5 linked regions of the Cricetulus griseus genome follow. The protein of the gene in region 2 interacts with the protein of the main gene of each other region in a pairwise test. Links are inferred from orthologs where the notes say so. Each region holds a gene or a part of one and is shown on either strand. Other genes may lie near its edges.

Evidence for each region.
Region 1: the proteins of Prkn (region 2) and Rgs2 interact in binary tests that used the Homo sapiens proteins (3 or more experiments, as listed by UniProt). The link is inferred for Cricetulus griseus from reciprocal best matches to the Homo sapiens genes PRKN and RGS2.
Region 3: the proteins of Prkn (region 2) and Gpr37 interact in a two-hybrid assay, tested with the Homo sapiens proteins (2 studies listed by BioGRID). The link is inferred for Cricetulus griseus from reciprocal best matches to the Homo sapiens genes PRKN and GPR37.
Region 4: the proteins of Prkn (region 2) and Syt11 interact in binary tests that used the Homo sapiens proteins (3 or more experiments, as listed by UniProt). The link is inferred for Cricetulus griseus from reciprocal best matches to the Homo sapiens genes PRKN and SYT11.
Region 5: the proteins of Prkn (region 2) and Tomm70 come close enough for resonance energy transfer, tested with the Homo sapiens proteins (3 studies listed by BioGRID). The link is inferred for Cricetulus griseus from reciprocal best matches to the Homo sapiens genes PRKN and TOMM70.

The regions. Positions count from the first base shown.
Region 1 is NC_048598.1:46,447,521-46,451,514, forward strand, and holds the start of Rgs2 (regulator of G-protein signaling 2), read left to right. Parts: upstream 1-1,192; 5' UTR 1,193-1,241; coding exon 1,242-1,351; intron 1,352-2,364; coding exon 2,365-2,466; intron 2,467-2,574; coding exon 2,575-2,636; intron 2,637-3,211; coding exon 3,212-3,378; intron 3,379-3,635; coding exon 3,636-3,830; 3' UTR 3,831-3,994. UniProt on the Homo sapiens protein: Regulates G protein-coupled receptor signaling cascades. Inhibits signal transduction by increasing the GTPase activity of G protein alpha subunits, thereby driving them into their inactive GDP-bound form.
Region 2 is NC_048595.1:289,993,638-289,997,669, forward strand, and holds the start of Prkn (E3 ubiquitin-protein ligase parkin), read right to left. Parts: upstream 2,807-4,032; 5' UTR 2,659-2,806; coding exon 2,652-2,658; intron 1-2,651. Other genes in the region: Pacrg (parkin coregulated gene protein), read left to right, coding at 3,258-3,413. UniProt on the Homo sapiens protein: Functions within a multiprotein E3 ubiquitin ligase complex, catalyzing the covalent attachment of ubiquitin moieties onto substrate proteins. Substrates include SYT11 and VDAC1.
Region 3 is NW_023276806.1:201,855,025-201,859,197, reverse strand, and holds the start of Gpr37 (prosaposin receptor GPR37), read right to left. Parts: upstream 2,810-4,173; coding exon 1,820-2,809; intron 1-1,819.
Region 4 is NW_023276806.1:65,759,169-65,763,199, reverse strand, and holds the start of Syt11 (synaptotagmin-11), read right to left. Parts: upstream 2,803-4,031; 5' UTR 2,605-2,802; intron 1,350-2,604; 5' UTR 740-1,349; coding exon 706-739; intron 1-705. UniProt on the Homo sapiens protein: Synaptotagmin family member involved in vesicular and membrane trafficking which does not bind Ca(2+). Inhibits clathrin-mediated and bulk endocytosis, functions to ensure precision in vesicle retrieval.
Region 5 is NC_048597.1:35,067,652-35,071,761, reverse strand, and holds the start of Tomm70 (mitochondrial import receptor subunit TOM70), read left to right. Parts: upstream 1-1,306; 5' UTR 1,307-1,343; coding exon 1,344-1,679; intron 1,680-4,110. UniProt on the Homo sapiens protein: Acts as a receptor of the preprotein translocase complex of the outer mitochondrial membrane (TOM complex). Recognizes and mediates the translocation of mitochondrial preproteins from the cytosol into the mitochondria in a chaperone dependent manner.

The sequences.
Region 1 (3,994 bases), on a different chromosome or scaffold from region 2:
CTCGTTCCAGTTTGAGGAATGTGCCTCTATTTTTCTTTTAGTAAGGTCTAGTGTGAAGCAGAATGACCATAACTTCGTTGTTAATCTATCTGCCCTGACTTCATGGGAAAACCACTTAGGTATTCCGCCGCATCACTCCCGTAACATAGGAAGCTGAATCAGTTTGTAGTTGAAGTCATGTATTTGTTCTTACAGATCAGGGCATTTTAAAACCTGCGGGAGTAGAGATGGGTTTCTGAAGAACTGACAAATGAAGCTTGTCCAAGCAAACTTTACACCTCCCGACTCTCACATCCAGCTCTAGCCTCACACCCCCACCCCTTAATTTAAGCAGGTGAATATCTGGCAAATTCTAAGCCTGCCCAACTAAGAATGACTCATTAGGAAATCCTGATTCCTTACACTCGGAAACTACAAACGATCCGAGTGTATCAGAACCGCAAGATCTCGGGTTTCCCTTTGTGTTTCTCTCTATCACTCAGATCTGTGCCGTGCCCGCCTAGAGACGCCCTTCAGATCTCCTGGGGAATGACCCTGCAACGTCACAGCCTTCTGCAGCCAGGCGTTTAAAGATCAAAAATGCAGAATCATTTAAAACACCGGGTTTTAATAGGCACTTTCTCCTTCTTCCTCCCTGACCAGCGTGCGTTCCCATAAGGAATTCCAAGATGCCTGAGCGAACAGAGAATCACAGTACTTAGCTCAGAAGCCCTTGTTTCGGGTTTCTCTAGTTGTTTAAGTCCTTCCCCGAAATAGGTGGAGTGTGGGTGGGGCGGTAGGGCTCTCCCCCTGCCCGCTGCAGTGTATAGGTGTCCCGGTGCATCTAAAAGATCGTGAACAAAGCATGAGTTGCAAAGGCGGGGCTCGAAAAAAGATAAAAGGAAAGGAAAAGGTACGGCCTTAAGGAAAAGTCACGAACTCGGGAACCCTGCACGGCTGGGGCCACCCGAACAAGCGAGCAGGGATCCCGCGCTGTCCCCGCCCTCCGCCTCCCCGCCTGTGTGCGCACGAGGCTGCGGCACCTACGTCAGCAGCGCCCTGGCTTCCAGACCCTTCGGCTGCCGCCGTGACTGCCGCAGGCCCGTGCGACCCCTCCCTCGCGCCGTCTGCAGCGGGCCAATCCGCACCCTCGAAAGGCGGAGCCGACGCCTCCGGGCCCCGCCCCTGTTCCGCAGCCGGCCTTAAAAGACCGCGGCGCGCGCCCGGCTGCAAACAGCTGCGGTGGCCGCCGGAGTCTTAGTATGCAAAGTGCCATGTTCCTGGCTGTCCAGCACGACTGCGTACCCATGGACAAGAGCGCAGGCAACGGCCCCAAGGTCGAGGAGAAGCGGGAGAAAATGAAGCGGACGCTGTGAGTATGCCCTCTCTTCCTGAGAGCTCTTACCCCGCATGGCTTTGCTGCTCGGGACCGACCTTCCTTCCATCTCGGCTTTGACTTGAGCTAACTCCGGTCTGCACCTCTGCAGAGAAAGCGGGGGGGCGGGGGGAAGAAAGAAGGAAAAGTCAGCTTGCTAGATCTCGTGGTTGTGCTTTTTTCTGTGTGAGCGTAGAGTTTCAACTATGGGAAGTTGTTAGGAAGGTGGCGGCGGTAGCTGGGCTGAGAAGGCGATGGCTGGCTTTTTGTTCTGCATGTAAGGTGACATGAGTATTCTGCAGCTGAATAGGATCCGCAGCGCCCATACATTGCATTGTGAGGTCTGAGCTGCTTACACAGCTGCTGGGTAATGTTTGGGATGATTCCGAATGTATTCGCTTTAGATACGGTTTTAAATCATAAAATAGGTCTCATCCAGTCACGACTGTGGAATGAGTAATTTGCTCTGCAGTATCTGCTGCGGAGAAGCACTGTGGGAGGTCGCGGAGGGGGAGCTCGGGACACACACACACACACACACACACACACACACACACACACACACACTCACACACCACACACCACACACACACACACACCCCACACACACACACCACACACACACACCCCTCTATGCACCGCCTGTATCTTGGACCAGACCCTCCTGCCTCTAGCACAGAAAGGGAAGGAACATCAGCTGGCTCAACACACGGCAGTTCTCAATCATTAATTGTCTCCAAGTTGTAGTTAACCATGCAGAAAAACCGCTACCTTTTTCGTAGGTCAGAAATAACTTGTGAAAATTTTAAATATCCTAGCTGTGTTATGTAGTCCTATGCTGGGTTCAATCCATGAGGTGCTGGGTTTAAATATCCCACATATGGCATGGACTGTTCTTGCCTGTCTGGTTTGTTTGGTGACTGACCATATGCTACTGCAACTGGTGATAATTTCACTATTCAAGAATTGCAGCTTGAAGTATTTTTTTCCTCTCCTTTTTTCTTTTCTAGCTTGAAGGATTGGAAGACCCGTTTGAGCTACTTCTTGCAAAATTCCTCCACTCCTGGGAAACCCAAAACTGGCAAGAAAAGCAAACAGCAAACTTTTATCAAGTAAGTTGCAACTCCTGTACTTGCAGAACAGAATGTCTAGCCATTGAACAGGAGAGGGGAACTATTATGTGTGGTTTATATAGCTCATGTTCGGAACTTCTCTTGCAGGCCTTCTCCTGAGGAAGCGCTGCTCTGGGCAGAAGCATTCGATGAACTGCTGGCCAGTAAATGTAAGTTAACCTCTTGAATTTGATCTTTCACCAGCATCCCAAGAGCCTAGAAATGTTGTGTCTACACCACAAATGAGCAGCTAGCAGGAAGTGCATCAGACATTAGCACCATTTACTTCATAAAGCCTGCTTTTCTTTCCCCTCGTCCTCCAGTTTAATCATGGAAAAGCATGAGGTATTCACTTCAGGAATAAAGTTAGCCTAACTTGTGAAAGTTAGGAAGAAAAATTAGCCTAAAAATTAAAACGACTTACTCATAGTTAGGGTTGAGTCAGCTTTTCCATTGCATAGAATATTTTCAAAAGCCCTAGTTCCCAGAGAACTAATGGATGACTGTCCTCTAAATATTTATTTTGCATTGACGGTGAAGTTCAGTATATTTTGTTGTCGTCGTTGCAGAATGCAAAGTTAAGCATTTTGCCTGCTGGCATCTTAGTGCTTAAAGAGCTAAAGTGTGAGAATGACAGGTTTGAGTGAAATCTAGAAAGCTGATCGATCATTCTAGTACTAAAAGAACCATGTGTTATCTGGTCACTCAATTTACATTCTACATGCTTGTTTTCCTGTGCTTTCAGATGGGCTTGCTGCATTCAGGGCGTTTTTAAAATCTGAGTTCTGTGAAGAAAATATTGAATTCTGGTTGGCTTGTGAAGACTTCAAAAAAACCAAGTCACCCCAAAAACTGTCCTCCAAAGCAAGAAAAATATATACTGACTTCATAGAAAAGGAAGCTCCCAAAGAGGTAAGAAAACAAGTTATTGGTGTCAGCATAATTTGGACATCTTCAACCCCATAGTGAAGCACAAGAATTGGATACACCAGTTAAAGTGCCAGTGGGAAGAGCTGGGGCTCCCCACCCCAGCTATCCTAGCATTTCAGTTTTTCCAATCTGACAGTGAGAACTGATCACATATTACATCTTTTGTGTTTTGTTATTAAGCATTGATTTATAATGTTGGATACCAAATAAATCAAGCTTTGTTTTATTTTTGGTTTCAGATAAACATAGACTTTCAAACAAAAACGCTGATTGCCCAAAATATCCAAGAGGCTACAAGTGGCTGTTTTACAACAGCCCAGAAGAGGGTATACAGCTTGATGGAGAACAATTCTTACCCTCGCTTCTTGGAGTCAGAATTCTACCAGGACTTGTGTAAAAAGCCACAGATCACCACGGAGCCCCATGCTACATGAGGCCAGGAGCCCCCAACAGAGGACATTTCATTGTCTCCCAAGACGAAAAGGCTGTGACCTGCCAAAAGACTGACCTTGAATTCAGCCTGGGTGTTAGGAAACATCACTCAGAACTATTGATTCAAAGTTGGGTAGTGGATCAGAAAGCCAGCAACCTAGGACAG
Region 2 (4,032 bases):
GAGTGTGATCTTTATATGCAGTTAAATTCTCTAGAAGATTTTAACAAGATACAGAAAATAATACTTTAATCAATTAAAAGTGCAACACCTTTGAATGGAACCCACAGTCTTATGAACCCTAGGATATATCACTGAGTGACATTTCTATTTCAAAAACTGGGTTTTAATTTAAGAACTTCCTACTTTAATTGTATGAGAACCCATGTGCTTTAATAGCTGATATTATCAAATGCCTAAATGTATAGGACATTTAGAGCAATTCACAATTGTCACCACCAAAATTCAATTTTAAACACAAAGAAGTGCTCATTTTTAAAGATTAAAAAATGTAAAAGAAGTGCTCAAAATTACATTTTTGTCAGTTAAATTTTCTGAAGCATTTCATTATTGTGTATCCCTTCTCCATGCCTCGAAATGGCAGACTTTTTCATCGACTTCAATTAAATTATGTTTTAAGTCTGTCTGGGTCAAGGCATTTAACATGAAAATCATAATATCCAAGTGGGAAATGTAAGTACTTTTAATGCCATCTCCATGACAAAATGGGAACCCTCTATTTTGAGACAATAAAAGGGAAATTATTTTATGGGTAATGAAGTATTTGTTCCCCTTTCTCATATTTGGCCAGGAAATCAATCCATGTTTTTCTCAAAGGAAAGCAAGGACTTCAGTGTAAGAGTGGGTTATTGCCTGCACTAGGAGGATATACAGCAAGGTGGGAGAGTATAAGTATAAAAGGCATCAGCTCTGTGTCGTGCTGAGCAGGATAAGACACTGTTCAGTTCCTAGAGGCATTTATGTGTCCTTTGACCTGCAATAGACTTCTCTGGATAAAGACTGTCTGTGTTTCCTGGCTCAAAGATTAGTCACAACGAAAAATGACTCCTGGAAGGAACTAGGCAATAAAACTAATTGAACTAAATAATTCATTTATTTTAACATTCTTTATGCAGTTTAATTAATAAGTAAGTTCCTTTTCTTGGGGTGGAGGGACAGGGGTTTAATTACTTGTGTTGGAATATACACTTATTCACCCTACAACAACAGTAGTGAGAGAAAGAAAATGAACAGCTTTAAAATTCACCTTGAATTTCCCTTGTTTTTTGTCAGTAATAGATTTAGTTGTGACGCCCAGATATCACACTTCTTAAGACAGTTCCAGATAAACCTTACTAAAACTGTCTAAATGTGTTCCATTTTAAAAGTTACTACTATAATAATAATTTATTAGATTCTTTACAAAAATAATTATTTCTAGTTCTTAACTTTCTGTCTTTATATAGCTTTATGGGACATTTGCTTCTCAAAATCATCCGTAAACTAAGTTGGAAGAAACTACATGTGTGCAATTGTCTTCAAAATATGAGCTATTTCTTTCTTGTAAAATCTCCCATAATTTTTTTTTTCCTAATCTCTCCCACTTGGTTCACGGACTCGGTTCAGGTTTGTGTTTACAATCAGATTTTAAGTAAACGTCACTTAACAGGCTCAGTAAGATTCATAAAAACGTAGCTTCTCTACACACAAGTTTCCAATTCATTCACCAGAAATACGCACTACCCTACCAAAGTTGAGAGCTGGGCATCTTCAGCTTGTACCTCTGCCTCAATGAGGATGTTGGTGACCTGGCATGATTCCCCCAGTGAGGGGTAGACTGCACACTTTAACCTTACTTTCATAAGTAAAAGCAGACTTAGGGGCTTGCATCACGTAAAGCATTAATTTCATAAAGCCACCTGTCACCTGTCTTCTAGGCGCATCTGGGATAGATCCCCTTCAAATGTGCTCAGGGTGATACTTCTGGAGCGTCTATCACAAACAAGCTCACTAAGACACCAATTGCAGGAGTCTACAGAAAGGAAACCTTCAAACAGGAATGATCGCCCAACACGGCTGTGCATTTCAACTCATTCTGGGGGAACACCCCAAGTGACTGGGAGTTTGACATCTTCGAGAAGGACCTTCTACTTCACGGTGCTTATAACAACCCTAGCGGCCGCTTCCAAAGCCACACTCATGCAGCTGCACTCGGTGGAAAGACTCCATCTGTACTATTATCTACTCTCGGCTATTCTTTTCGCCTCAGATCTGCGAGGAGACATTTAGTAAGGCAGAACTCAAGGAGCAAAGTGCAATCTCTTGCAAACCCATTATCTCCACCAGTCCAGTGCTTCCCGGGGGCTTTTTCAAGTCCTGCAGTGTCTAAACCTGTCCTAAAGTGAAGGACAGGGACCAGAAGGGAAACAGAAATCAGAGCTGGGATGGTTATCACCCAGGGGTGGCAGAGCGCCAGGCTGCTGCCGGTCGGGCAGGACGAGCCCGGCCGCCGGGGGGCGCTGTGGTGCACCCGGGTGTCGGCAGGGATGCCATCTTCAGGGAGCACCGGGCTAACCTTGGCAAGGGCGAGGTGGGGACTGGACGCTCACACAACGTATGCTATAAGACACACCCGACCCGGCCCGGCCCGGCCTGGCCCCTGGTAGGCCCCCGGGGCCCACGGAGTGAGGAGCACACGCCTTCGCCCTCACACTGACAGGTGGCTCGGGCGAGCCCCCGAGGAGCCCACTGGGACCCGCGGGGTGTGACAACGTGGCGCCACACACGGGCGCGGGGCGGCGCAGAGAGGTTGTACCTGGCAGGCACCCACGTACCTATCATGGTCACCGGGTGGGTGGTGGCTGCGGGGCGAGCACGGCCTACGCGGGCACCGGCACCCGCCCGAGCCTCCCACCAGCGTTTCTCCCAGGTTTAGTCAGTCATCCCCGGCTCACCACCCCGCGCGCCCGGCAGGCTCAGTGCGCGTGCGTGCCTGCCCCCCGCGCGGTGCCTGCTGGGAGTCGTAGTTTTAACGCGTAAGAGTCTCCCCGCCCCCACAGCCGCTCCTGAGCTCCTAAGGCGGCTGCGGGCTTCTGCCGTTCGCCCTTTCCGGATTCAAACCCAGGAAATGTGCGTCACGAAGGGGCGGGACTATCGGGTAGTAGTGTTGCCGAGTCGCTTAGCAACCAGGAGGCTCACCTTTGGAAGCTTGTAGCGGCTCAAGCCTCGGGTCCCAGTCCTCTTCCCGCCCCTCCCCTCCCCTAAACTCCCTTCACCTTGGAGCTGCCAAACATCTGGATCGCTCTGGGCACCACGAGGGGTTGGATTTAAACCTGTAACTCGCTTTTTTTACATTTTTCCCTGACCTCCTGCTCACATCTGTAAAGCCCACTGGTTTGTCTACCACACTTTTGATAAGAACAAAAACGTATCCTGGGAAGATGGTGGCAGAAAAAGAGACCCTGACCTTAAATAAATGCCCAGACAAGATGCCGAAGAGGACCAAACTGCTGCCACAACAGCCGCTCCCGGTGCACCAGCCTCATTCCCTGGTTTCTGAGGGCTTCACAGTCAAAGCCATGATGAAAAACTCAGTCGTAAGTGATCTTCCTCAATTGAACACACTTGCTCCAAGTCGGGGGACACGAGGTTGTAGAGCCTGGCAGGCCCCGGGATGGATTCCCAGCCCAGGTACTGGGTTCTGTTTGCCAGAACTGGCAATGGCTATCAGTAAGCCAAGCGTGCCCACCAATATGCAGAGAGGTAGACCAGATGGTTAGATAGCTTTGAGGACAGGTAATGTCCAGGGCTAGTTTACAAGCATTTTCATGAGAACTTGTGCTTTCACCACTAAGCCCAAATTATACTTAAGCTTTTTAACTAGAAGGGGGAAAAAATCCTTTTCCTTCTTGCAACTTAACTTGGTTCCAGTCAGCAAAGGGCCTTCTAGAGTGAGAATTCTTAGAAGTCATAGGCTTTCGAAATTTTAACACGAAGCAGTGTATAGCTGGAACACACAAACTCATCAATAATCTAAAGTAACTTGTTTCATCTGGAACATTTTAGAATGTCTTAGAATTCAACAACATCTGACAAAGGGGTATTAGTCTGTTGTAGTGTTCAAAAGCTACTTATGTGAAAACTGGTTCCTGATAGGCCATTTAAATACATTTTTTAAATAATATTAGCTGTATTTCAAGTGTCCCTACCAATACA
Region 3 (4,173 bases), on a different chromosome or scaffold from region 2:
AGGGACTTATATGTGAAACAAGTTTGTTTCCTAACTTGAACTAATAAAAAAATTAAAAAAAAACTAACCTAAGTTTTTTATATTCTTTCTTCTGTTTGATACAATTCTCTTCGCTTGGGGTTTTCCTTCTGTAGCTTTGCTGATTTCATTCTTTCCCTTGTTTTTTGTTCTGCCTTCTTTATTGCTTTTATACCTAATGTATACGTTAGCAACCCCTACCCCAACACTTCAGTTGACACTGTGGCAAGTCAACACAGTTCCTGCTTGCAGACTGCCTCGCCTGTTGAAATTTACACTTTATTTTTTTTTTAACTCTCCTTCTTGCCTAAAGTCTTTTGCATTGTTAAAAACAAGAACCAGAGCTAAACAAGCACTTAAACTAAAACAAAAACCTATGTTAAAAACAAGAAGCTAAGCTGAAATTGTCTTTAAAAAAGACAATTTTAAATTGACACATACTCTTTTATGTAATTCACCTATGCACTCTCAAATTAAAAAGTGAACTGTCTCTCCAATAAATGACAGTGTTTCAGAGTTGCTCCATGCTTGGCAACAGGGAGGCCTTGGATCCTGGTAAGTAGCAACAGCTGATTTATCTGAGCCATGGATGGCCCTACATCTGAGTGCAGACAGAATAACAGAGGGTCTTATTGACGGGCTCTGGCTCTGGACCTCCTAAGTAGGCACTGTTTTCTGTTTACTTATCCTGGAGTTTTTACCCTGAGACAATGTTGAACATAGTGTCAACTGGCCCTGGTGCCAGACAGATCAGAGGCACTGGGATATTTACAGTTTCCCTTCTTGTGTTTCCATAAATGAAATGGACAGACTGAATGGAGAAAATCAAGGCCCAGCTGGCTAAAAACCACAACTGGCAGCCAAATACTTGGGCAGGTTCCAAGAGCTAGTGTTTAAAGAGAGGCCAATTTACAGAGCAAATTCCACCTCCCAGAGCAATGACTGGTACAGTGGCTTTAGCACGAAGCAGTAAACCCTTTCCTTACACAAACAATTTGCATTTCCAAAATTTGGAAGCTGTTTTCTTCAGAAATGTTTTTAATCTTAAGAGTAAATCCCTTTAAAATAGCCGATTCTTCACAGGCATAGTAGTAGCAAGTTTGTATCATATACTCTGTAAATGCTAGATTACCAGGGATGGGGCTGACGTCTTATTTTTAAGTTCATTTAAAAGAATGAACTGATTTTAAAAGTTGAGAATTATCCACAGCGGAAACAAGGAAGACCTAAGACCTTAGATGAAATAGTAGGGTAGACAATAGCTAACTTAAACTAGTTTGGGAGGTTCCTAATACATCACGAGGTCAAATGAAAAGCAAAGATTGATTTTCTTTTATGCATAAACTATAACTCCAGCTTTGGTAGTTTAGAAAATGCTCAGTAGTCTCCCTGGGGGATGGGAAGCTGAAGGAGTCATAATGAAACACTACAACTTTGGGAAATAAATGCTAATGGCTCCCTCCCCTCTTTTACTAGGCTCCAGTAAGGACAACCACAAGGATGGGCCATTATTTAATCCTGGGCTCTCAGATGAGTGCCAAGTCAGAAATACCGCCACATCCAGAGGACGGTTGTAGTGTTATAGGACCATCTCTTTTCGCAGGCTAGGAGCAGAGCAGTGTGAAGGTGATTTAACAAAGCTGCTTTCTTTCAAATACAGGCATGCATGCATAAGTGACAGAGGAAAAGAGAAGACATTCAGAGAAAGAAGCAAGGGGTCCCACCAGGTAGGTACATCCAACCGCTGTTCTTTTGCTATCATTCCGGAAACAGATAAAGGCAGCAGCTAGAAGGCATTTACCTCGATATAGGGCACGATCTTGCAGGAGAAATCTTCCAAAAGCCACTTCTTGGTCAACTCATGGAAGATGACCAGGGGTAGGCAAAAGAAGATGATGAGAAAGTCCCAGAAGGCCAGGTTCGCCAAGAGAGAATTGGAGATGCTCCTCATGTAGTAATTGTGACACACGATGCACATTACTGCTAAGTTACCAATGATTCCAGTCCCAAAGATCACCACAGATAAGCACATGACGGCGTAGGCTCCATAGGACTCCTGGGTCAGGGGGTAGAAGGGGTTCTTCAGTCTCACGCGCCTGCTGGTGCTGTTTCCACGGCGCGGACCCCCTTGGTCAGGGACCCAGTCATCAACAGACCCGTTTTGCGGTAGTGCCCTGCCTGGGGGAGCAATGGTCCTCCCTTCATGCCCCGGTGGAGGCTTTTGGTGGGAGCCTTGGGGTTGTCCAGTTCTCCGTGGCCAGTAAAAAAGATCTCTGGGTTCAGGGTCCGTTTTCACACTCTGCTCCTGGCTGCTCCGTGGAATGTCAGCGCCCCTGGGACTCATGTCTTCCCCCTCTGAAGTCTGAAGGAAGAGGTGGAGGTCCGTAGGTTCCCTTCTCCCCAAATTTCCTAGTGGCTCTTTACCCTGGGCACTTTTCCACCTCCAGGCATCAGGTGGCTTGGTTGGGGGACCCAAGGGCCCAGCAGCTGCTGCACCTGCTGCACCTGTCTGGCCGACCCTGGCCGGTGGGAGGTCCCAAGAGGTCGCCCCTCTCACCTCTGCTTCCAGTTTCTCCCTAGGCATACGGACTCGCAGAACCCCTCTTGCAGAATTCCCTAGTCCCCGGGCATCCCTGCTGCCGCCCTGAAGCAGTGGGGAACAGCTCTCCCCCAGACAAGTTCCATTCCTGGCCACAGGGACAAAGCTCAGGACAGCAGAGACAGAAACCTTCAGCAGCAGGAGGAGCAGCAGTCGCGATGTACGCGAGAGAGGCGCGCCCCGGGCCGGCATGGCTCGGCAAGGGCGCTCCTAGTAGCCCCGCACTGGCTTAACACCAACACCTGCTGCCAAACTTGGTGCAGGGAGTTAGACACATGTCACATACTCACCACTGGCCAGTGGAGAGGAGCTGAAGATGACTGGGAGAGCAGGGAACAGAACTGGAGGGGGGGGCAACACACCCCCTACAATCCTGCCGCGTTTGGCGTCCTGTGCATTTCTCAACCAAATCTAATCCAAGCTCTGCGCACCCGAAGGTTCCCAGGGAAAACAGATGATCCACCAGGCTGACCTTGAAAAGTTGCAAATACCACCTGATAGTTGCCTAATGTTGCGACTGGGCGCAGCCTGGAGGAAGCCCCACGTTCCTCCCTGCCTTTGGGTGGTGGCTGCCTTCTTGGTAACAGTTGCTCTGCTATTTACATCCTTTTGGTACAGCTTTATCCAGTCGCTAGTCGAGGTCTCTAGAGAGAAAGAAAAACAAGTCCCCTCCACCAGGGGACTGGCTGTCACAATCCCACTCCCGGCTGGCTAGCAGGGAACCTGTAGCAAACAGAGGCAACACTGATGCTCAGAGGAAACTCTTGACTGGTCTAACTCCGGCCACTTTCGAGGCTACTGTTGCCAAGGAGGAGGCAGATTCGAAACCCGCGGCAGCTGTCAAAGTTGTTGCTCCCGCAGCTCAAAGTTGACAAGGGGATGGCGCCGGCGGCTGTGCGTAGTGCACGGGCGGAGAAGACGTGGGGTGGAGAGAGAGGGAGGAGAGGGCGCTGCTGGTTTGTGCACGGTGCTGTGGGGTGCAGGAGCTTGTCACTGCCACCACCATCACAGCCCTGGCGGAGAGCGTGGTGCCTGGAACCGCTGCAGGCGGGCGGAGCGGTGCGTGGTCGCCAGGGGAGGTGGCCCGGCCTCTCCCAGCCGCTCAGCCACTGCGCGCGCTTTGCTCCAGGCCTCCTCCCTCTCGCCCTCCTTCTAACAGAGCTTCTGGTTTGTGGAGAGACGGGATCCCCTGGTGGTTTTACCACACACTAAACCCACACACGTTTCATTCAAGCGGTTCGCAGCGGCTTTCACTCGGAAGCTGTGAGCGACCAGGGAACAAGGGCGGAGGCGCTGAGCCGGCGCAGCTAGAGGCACAGGGTTGGACTCCGTGTTTTATTCCCCTAGACATTCCAACCAGCCGGACCTAACCGGTCACCACCCAGGAGAGAGGAGGATCTCAGGATGCTGGGTGCGGGCGGGAATCCCCGGAGAACGTAGAAAGGGCGAGACTCTTGCGATCTGCAACAATTGGTAGCAGCTGGTGCGCATGCTCAGGCCTCAAATTACCCCAGGGAACAGTGACACATTCATAGCCTTAGATTCCCCAGAGCAGA
Region 4 (4,031 bases), on a different chromosome or scaffold from region 2:
TCTCAGAAATAGACATCACGTCATCTCTCCGCCCGGCAGCGCCAAGCGCCATTTGGTAACACCGGCAAGGACCTCACCATTACGGTGCAGAACGAAGCTTGCAGGGCTAGCATTTTACCCCAGCCCTAGCAACCCACTGACCGGCCTAAGGAGTGGCTTCCCTTTTGCTCCCCACCCCCGCACCCTTCTTTCCCTGGAGGCCTCCGCCTCCCTTGGCTGCCAGCCACACAGCCCATAGTCTCCACGCTGCCATCTTGAGGCCCCATCCCCCTTGCCGCTTCCCTCTCCTGCAGCCCTCAGAAGTAGGAGGGGGAGGAAAGGGGCACCGCCCTGCATGCCCCAAGGGGGAGGGCTCGAACTACCCCACCTCTCTTCCTCCAGAAGGTGGGTTCACATCCTCCGCATGCTTGCCGTTTCTCACCTCCAGCCGTGCTGACAGTGCACCAAGGGTTTACGGTCAAGGTTTTAGCATCCCGGATTGCCTACCCTCCGTGGCACTCCGGCCTTGCCACCTCTGCAGCCCAAAGCTGAAACCCAGGCGCTGTCCACTGCCTGCCTTGGAGTCACTCACCACCTCAGACCCTATTCTAGCAGGGCTGGCAACTAGAGGCTCCCATCTGGACTTCACTCCCCGCCAATTCCTCAGCTACCTGGCTTTGCGCCGGCACTGATAGCCTCAAAATTAGTTTGTCAGACTCTACTTACCAAAGCTGGGGCGTATATTTGTGATCTCAGCCATGTTGTAATCAGAGGCTGTTGGTAGCAACACTTTTGCAGAGGTCAGACAACTTTGGGAATCTCGGTGAGTACCGAGGCCGCGGCTGTAGACCTCCGGATCAGGGGAGGGGAAGGTGCCTGGCAGACTGCCCCTGCGACAGTCGGATCCCTGGTTGCTAGCTGCGCTTTCCTCTTAGATGCTCCTGGGATGCTCTGAGCTAAGGATGCAGGTGCAGTCGGACTGGTCCTGATGCGAGATAAGCTCCGCCTCTTTCCGAAGGGCCCTCGGCAGAAGACTCCGCCTCTGCCCGAAAGGTTCCGGAAGCTCTTCGAGAGGAGACCCCTCCCACCGCCGAGTTTTCCCGAGGACAAGGCTCCGCCCACCCCCAGGCTGTGGGCGTTGGGGCTACAATTTCAAAGCCCAATAAGAAGTGTAGGTGTTGTGCTTCTTTAGTCGCATATTCCAGTGACTGTAGCACTCGAGTGGGTGAGGCAGGAGAGTCAAGGACGGCCTTGGCTAGGTCTCCAAATACAGAAGGGCAGGAAGACAATCGCTTTAGCGTTTTCTGCAGCTGTGACTCCAGTTGCCTGGGTTTATACGGATGGAAGCCGGACATGCTGGGTTCCAGAAGCTGTGAAAAACAAAATTCTATTGTTTCACTAATGATTGCTATTGCTATGTGCATTCCTGAAACAATAAAGGCAATTATGTAAACTAAACTTTAGAAACCGATTAAAGATCAAACTTGGGCAGAAGCGAGACGAAACTGAGTTTCAGGCCAGTACCCTGTCTCAAAGTAGCACAACAATAACAAAGGACCTAACATCCACTGGGCGGTGTGCTTTCAACCCAGCAAGACAACCACAACAACGACAAACCAAAAACAAACCAAAATAACAAACAAACATACAAAAAAAATCCCAATAAAATAAAACAAAGCAAAACAAAAAAAAAACATAAAACTCTTGCAAACACGAGGGACTTGACTGTGTACTGGGTCAATGCATGAGAAAGTGAGATTGGAATTTTAGATACCGAATCCTATTGATAACTGGGTACTTTTGTGATCATCTACCCAGCATGGCCAGAATCTGCCAACTGAAAAAAGTGATAAAATATCCATTGGACTCCAGGAGTTTTCGTGGAGACAAAATCGCCTAGAGACAATGGGAGAACATTTTGCACAATGAAAAATATTATGTAGATATGATAACTGCCATACCTTGAGTTCAAGACTGCCTTTGTTTTTTGTATCTAGAGCATCTTTCTGAATTTTAGGAATTCTCTTTTTCCTATGTTCCAGGTATTTTGCGGGTAGGGTGATTAGTTGTCAACTTAAACTATAGATTCCCAACCCCCTGTTTTGAGTTGTATGTTTAAAGTTAGAGAAACCTAGGAAGTATCTTTCTTTTTTCCTCCCTCCTTTTTCCCTCCCTCTCTTCCTCCTTCCTTCTCTTCCTTCCTCCCTCCTTCCCTTCGTTTTTGAGACAGGGTTTATCTGTGTATCCCTGGTTGTCCTCAAATTTGCCCTGTAAACCAGGCTGACCTCGAACTCTTGAGATGTGCCTGCATCTTCCCCTCGAATGCTGGGATTAAAGGCGTGGGCCACCACATCTGGCAGGGAAATGCCTTTAATGTATTTATTTATAGACAGGACAGCGGGAGTTGTGTTGAGAATAGCTTCGAACTCTTGATCATTGTGTCCCCACGCCCGAAGTGCTGCCATTATACGCGAGCACCAGCAAACTGGGTTTGTTTAGCTTTGGGATTCAAGCTCAAGAGTTTGCAGCATTCAAGGTAAGCACTTTAGCAAGTTACAGCTTTAATTGCCTGCCTGCCTGAGTGCCTGCCTGCCTGAGTGCCTCCGTGCTTGCCTGCCTACTTACCGGCCACCTAGCTGTCATATACTGCTACTCTTTCCCTTAACTGACGTATTAGCGCTGTGGCTTCAGGCGGCCCTAAAAGAAGATGGCTCCTATCGTTGTGCGCATGCTCCTTGACGTCCAGCCTACGCGCCTCGGGGTCGCGCACGTCAGGCAGTGCCGTTGCCTTACTTCCGCTGGTGCAGAAGCGGGGTTTCCGCGGGATCAGGCCGGCGTCCGAGGGTACTTGGTAGTGTGCGGTGGGGCGGGAAGAGGCACGTTAGACGAGGGACTCCGGGGCGGAGGCTGCCCAGGATGAGGGGCGTCTGCTCCGAGGCTGGGTGCGCGGTGCGTGAAGGGGATTGCGTAGCCGGGGTGTGAGTGTGTGTGGGGGGGCGGGCTTGGGCCAGTGTTGAGCGGTGAGGAGAGCGCAGCTAGGACTCCCTCTGAAATGTTTTCCCGGACGCCGAGGGCCCCACCCCCACCCCCACCCCCCGGGGTGCAGTACGGCGGGCGGATTGGCGTTCATCCACTTTGCTGATCTACCTCCTGGTCTCTAAGGAGCAGACTCTTGGAGCCACTGTTTTGTGAAGCCTTTGGAGCGATCCCCGTGCAGTTCTGACAAAACAGCTGCTGGCTGCTCCCTTACCCCGCACTCTTTCTGCTTCCACCCTCCCTGAATCTCACGAAGTCATCTGTGAAATAAAGGAATCGCCTAGGTGATTCCCATTCCCCTTCTTGGTCACTTACCACCCTCCCTGACAGGATCAACGAATCTTCTCTGGGTCATTGAACTTTACCAAGAGAAGAACCTGGGTTGTTATGGTGAGGGCCTCCTTTAATGCCCTAGAGAAGGTGCATTGCAGAGGCTTAAGGTTATCTTCATAGATGAAACTTGGAGTCGGAGGGAACAAAGCCTGCCACTAGTAAGTTTCCTCTAGTACTGTTGAGTGCTCTTTCAGACTTGAAAGGTTGGCAGTGAATTATTCTGTTCTTGGAACTCCTTGTCAAAGTGTTTTTGTGGGAAGGATGCAACCAGAGGCTGGGGATGTACTCAGATGGTAGAGTGCTTACCTTCCATGCATAAGGCTTCGGTTCCCAATGCATAGAATGGCATGCTGTATAAATACCTGTAAGTGGAGGCAGCAGGGCCACAAGTTCAAAATCTTCCTGAGATAGAAAGCAAGTTAGAAGCCACTCCTCCAGTACCTATGTAAACGCTAAGTGCTTGGTCCAAACGCAGCGCAGCATTGTTCAAGCCCACGTTCATCCATTCACCTCTCAGGCAACAGTCAGTGAGTGCCGACATACCCACATGGTGCTGGGGCTGGAGACACCAGTTAAGGGTTCCCTTTTCTCAACCGAGTTCATATCCTAGCCTTTGCGGATGGAGAGCCAGAGATTACAAAAGTGATATGTGATATTGTAAGATTTACTTTTGAATTTTTGGA
Region 5 (4,110 bases), on a different chromosome or scaffold from region 2:
GCAAGAGGAAATGCATGGCCCTGAAGTTTCAAACGGGGCCATCCTATTTTAATTAGTTCTTGTTGGCCCTTCTCCTTTGCACCTCGTGCAGTGCTGTTATGTTGAGCATCCCGTGGTACTTAAAAGCCAAATGACCATTTGTAATTTTTTGGACACAAGGGTGTTCAAAGCTGAAATGAAGAGCCACACATAGGGTGCAACATTTATTTATTCACGCTTGTCTTTTCTTCTTGAAAACAATGTGAATTCCAAACACCTCGCAATGTAATTTTCATCTTTTGAGACCTGATCCAGCGTTCATGAAGGACAAAATAATGATGTGACAAAGTTATTACAGATTAAAGAGTTGAGTTAAAACATACTCTTGGAACGAGGGAGGGAGGTTTAAGAAAGAAAGCCGTTTCAAATAAGTGACCAACTAGAGTTCCGTGACAGGCACAAGTGCTCCAGCGAAGAGTCTATGGGCTGGGATGATGGCAGGTGGAATTCCGCCCAAGATACAGACGTAAAGATGACTGGCTCCAGGGCCCTCGAAGAAAGCCTCTACTCGGAGAGCCTCCGAACAGACACATCGCCTTTCTAACAACTGCACCTGGAGCACAAAGGCACCCTCCCGTCACTTTGATTAGTCAACCTAACTTCCTCAGTTTCCGCCTAGTCTTCGCTATTACCCCAGGAACTAGAAACTCGTCCAAACTCCACTCTGGACGCTGCAGAGAGATGAAGCTCGATTACACATTCAGCACAGCGTCCTCAGCTCTTCCTCTCACGGGTTTTAGTCTTTAACAGGCACCAACGCAGACACAACCTCAAAACCTACCTACCCATCAGCTGGGCGGCCGGCCCCACCGCCGGCCAGTTACCTGCAGGGCTCGGCACTCCCGCCCACTCTCAAGGCCCCCGGGAGCTGTCCCTCTGCTGATCCCGGCGCACCCCAAAAACCCCGCGGTGCACAGCCCGCCTCCTCGCTCCACCGGCGACAGCGCCGCCGGTCCTTCCACCCTGCGGGAAGGGGAGGAGGAGAGGTCGGCTGTCACGCAAGCCCTCGCAAGCAGGCGCCGGGCACAAGGAAAAAGGCTGCCCAGAACGGCCGGCTCGCACCCGGCCTTCCGACCCCGGAAGTGATTCCTCCCCTACACACGCGATAGGGGCGGGCGCAGCCGCGGGGCTAGCCCGGCATGCCCTGGGCTTCCGGTGACCTCTGGCCCTTTTCTGTCGTCCGCTCCCGCTGCCTGGCGTGCTCGCTCGCGCGTTTCTTTCCTCCACGCTCCGGGCTCCCTCCCGCCCGGTGACCGTGGCGCCGCGACCGGCCGCGCGCGACGGCGGCGCGGCGGACAGTCGTCATGGCCGCCTCTAAGCCATGGAGGCGCGATGGCGGCGGCGCGGCGGCTGCGCCCAGTTCTGGAAATGGAGTGGGCGGTGGCGGCGGGACTGCGGGCCCCGGCTCGGGCGCGGGGACCCTGGCGCGATGGCACGTGGCTCTGGCCATCGGGGCGCCCCTGTTGCTGGGTGCCGGGGCCATGTACCTGTGGAGCCGAAGGCGGAGGCGCCGGGAGGCGGGAGGCCGGGGCGACGCCAGCGGCCTGAAGCGCAACAGCGAACGGAAGACCCCGGAGGGCAGGGCCAGCCCGGCCCTGGGCAGCGGCCACCCCGACGGTTCTGGTGACTCCCTGGAAATGGTGAGAAGCCGCCCAGGCCACAGAGGGGGGACGAGCGGATGCAGCTTTCCCTTCACCCGTTGTGCGGCCGAGGGGCCCTCCCACCGGTCGGAAACTGCCGAGTGGCCGCAGAGGACTTTGGAGTCGTTTCTGGTTGCCTTTGGAGGGAGGGAGTGGGAGTAGCAGCTCCTGGCAGGCTAGCGTAGAGATTTCTCTTTACCCATCTCCTCTGGGATCCAACAGACAACCTTTTGCTTTTCTTCTCAGTGACACAGCATTTATCCCTCGTGGTGTAGGTACGGAGGACACGACGAACAGATAGAATAATCCTGTTAAGCCAAGAAAGGCAAATTTCACGAACGATTCGGACTTGCGACGTGCGTTGTTCCTGTGATTTCCCAAGGCAGGCACTTCCCTAAGAACCGTTTAATAACTAACGAGCCATTCCTCTTTTGCAAGGGGGTAGGTGAGCCACTACAGGACAAAATTGGGAAAACTCATTAGGTAGCTTTATATATAGGAAATAAGCCAGCTTCTAAGGAACAAAGTAGTGGTGGCTCCCCTACACCCGCACACTTTGTCTGGAAGCATCTTAAGATTTTCTGTTTCACTTGGACGCTTGTATACGTGTGTCCAAGGCTGATATGTTTGATAGTCTCTGATGTCAGAACGGGCATTGGCGTGATGGATTGCTCTGTCTGATCTGGTGATCTGACTACTAAATCTTTTTTGACAAATCTGACAGCTGTGTGGAGAATTGGCATGGCCTGAGATTGAGTGAGCTAAGGGACATTTGTCCGGGTCTGTAGTTTTATGGTGGTATTAGCAGAGAGAGACTTACCGGTAAATAATTCCAGGTACATACACAAGTAAATTCTTTATACTCGTGCAACCCATGTACACTTACGTTCATGAGAAAAAAAAAATGAATGGCAGTCGTTTTCATTCCATCCGGACTGAAGACCCATTTTATTTATTTATTTATTCATTTATTTTTTTACCGAGTAGCCTCACAGGTTCTGATTTATGGCTATAGGAATAGTACTTACCATGTGTGAGTCACTGTACTAGCCCAAAAGAAAGCCATTTGTTCTCTCCTATGGGGAAATTAGATAGCTTGTTTCTAACTAGGAATTCCTATATTGGAGGGAACTGTGATTTTTAAGAACTGAGGAGATGTCATTGTAAATTGGCCTGTGGAGCATTGTTATCGGTGAGTCCACTTTATCTTACTGTCATCCTAGTAGGCTAAGAGGATTAAAATAATAAGTCCCTTCTATTTTATCCAGCAATAAAAATGTTTAGGATGAAAGCCTGGGCGCTGGCAGCGGGAGCAAACTATGCTGGACTACCCAACCCCAAGAAGCCGGCTTCAGAGATTGATTTAGTGTGGCCACACTGGAAAGAGGGACAAATAAAAGGTTCCTGTAACCCCTGAGTTTGTCTTTGGGCTGTACACATGAACTTAAGGTTTAAGTAGAGGAAGAACCAGGCAGGTGGTGTACATAATTAGCCAGCCCTGGTTAAGAAGTAATGTGGTTGACCTGTGTCTCCAATCTGATTCAGTTAGAGAGGTGATGGGAGGGCTGGGGTGAAGGGTTCTTAAAGGGATTAATCTGGTTCGGACAAGGGTAATTACCTTCATCTGAAGGGTGCTCTGCCCTCTGAAGTTTTATTCTTACTGGACTCCAAGGTGACTCAAGGAAAAAGGTTAAGGACAATGCTCTGTGTTTAGTTGAACTGAATGTGACAGACAAAATGAGTGCAGAGATGTTAGGCTTTTATCATATTTTCAGTCACCTTTTTGGCCAAAGTGAAGTTTTAAGTGTATTTTTAGCAAAAGCAACTTCTAAGTGCTTGTTTCTGGTTAGATTGTGAGTACCAGTGAAAGTGGTTGTCAAGGAGATTCTTTGACTTGGTTATCCATTGTCGTTTTTGACTTGGTTATCCATCTGTATATATGAAATTTTGTACATGTGAAAATTTCATATATAAAATTTCTATGTAATTTTAATCTGGATTAGTAGGTAAATGAAAGTTACATAAAAGTTGTTGGTTCTGTAGTAAGCATAAATGAAACTAAGTTAAAAATAAGGGAGCTGGCCTGAAGTGGCTTAACAGTGAATAGTGCTAGTACTCTAGCAGCGTACAGGAGTTTGATTCCCAGCACCCGGGCCTAACAGCTCATGCTGTAATACCAGCTCCAGGGGGTTCAGTTCCTCCAGTCTACACGGGCACCTGCACTTGGGTGCACGTAAGTGAGCACACACGTACACAATTAACATGAAATAAGAGTAGTTTTACATATGAAACTGTTTTAGCATCACACTGTAGTTTTAGCCACATCCTCTATTCCAGGCATGCTTTTACTATTGGTTTTGAAAGAATTAGTAAATTCTCTTTCAGAATTTAGATTTCTTTAAATTCTCTTTTTAATTTTGCAGCATTGTCT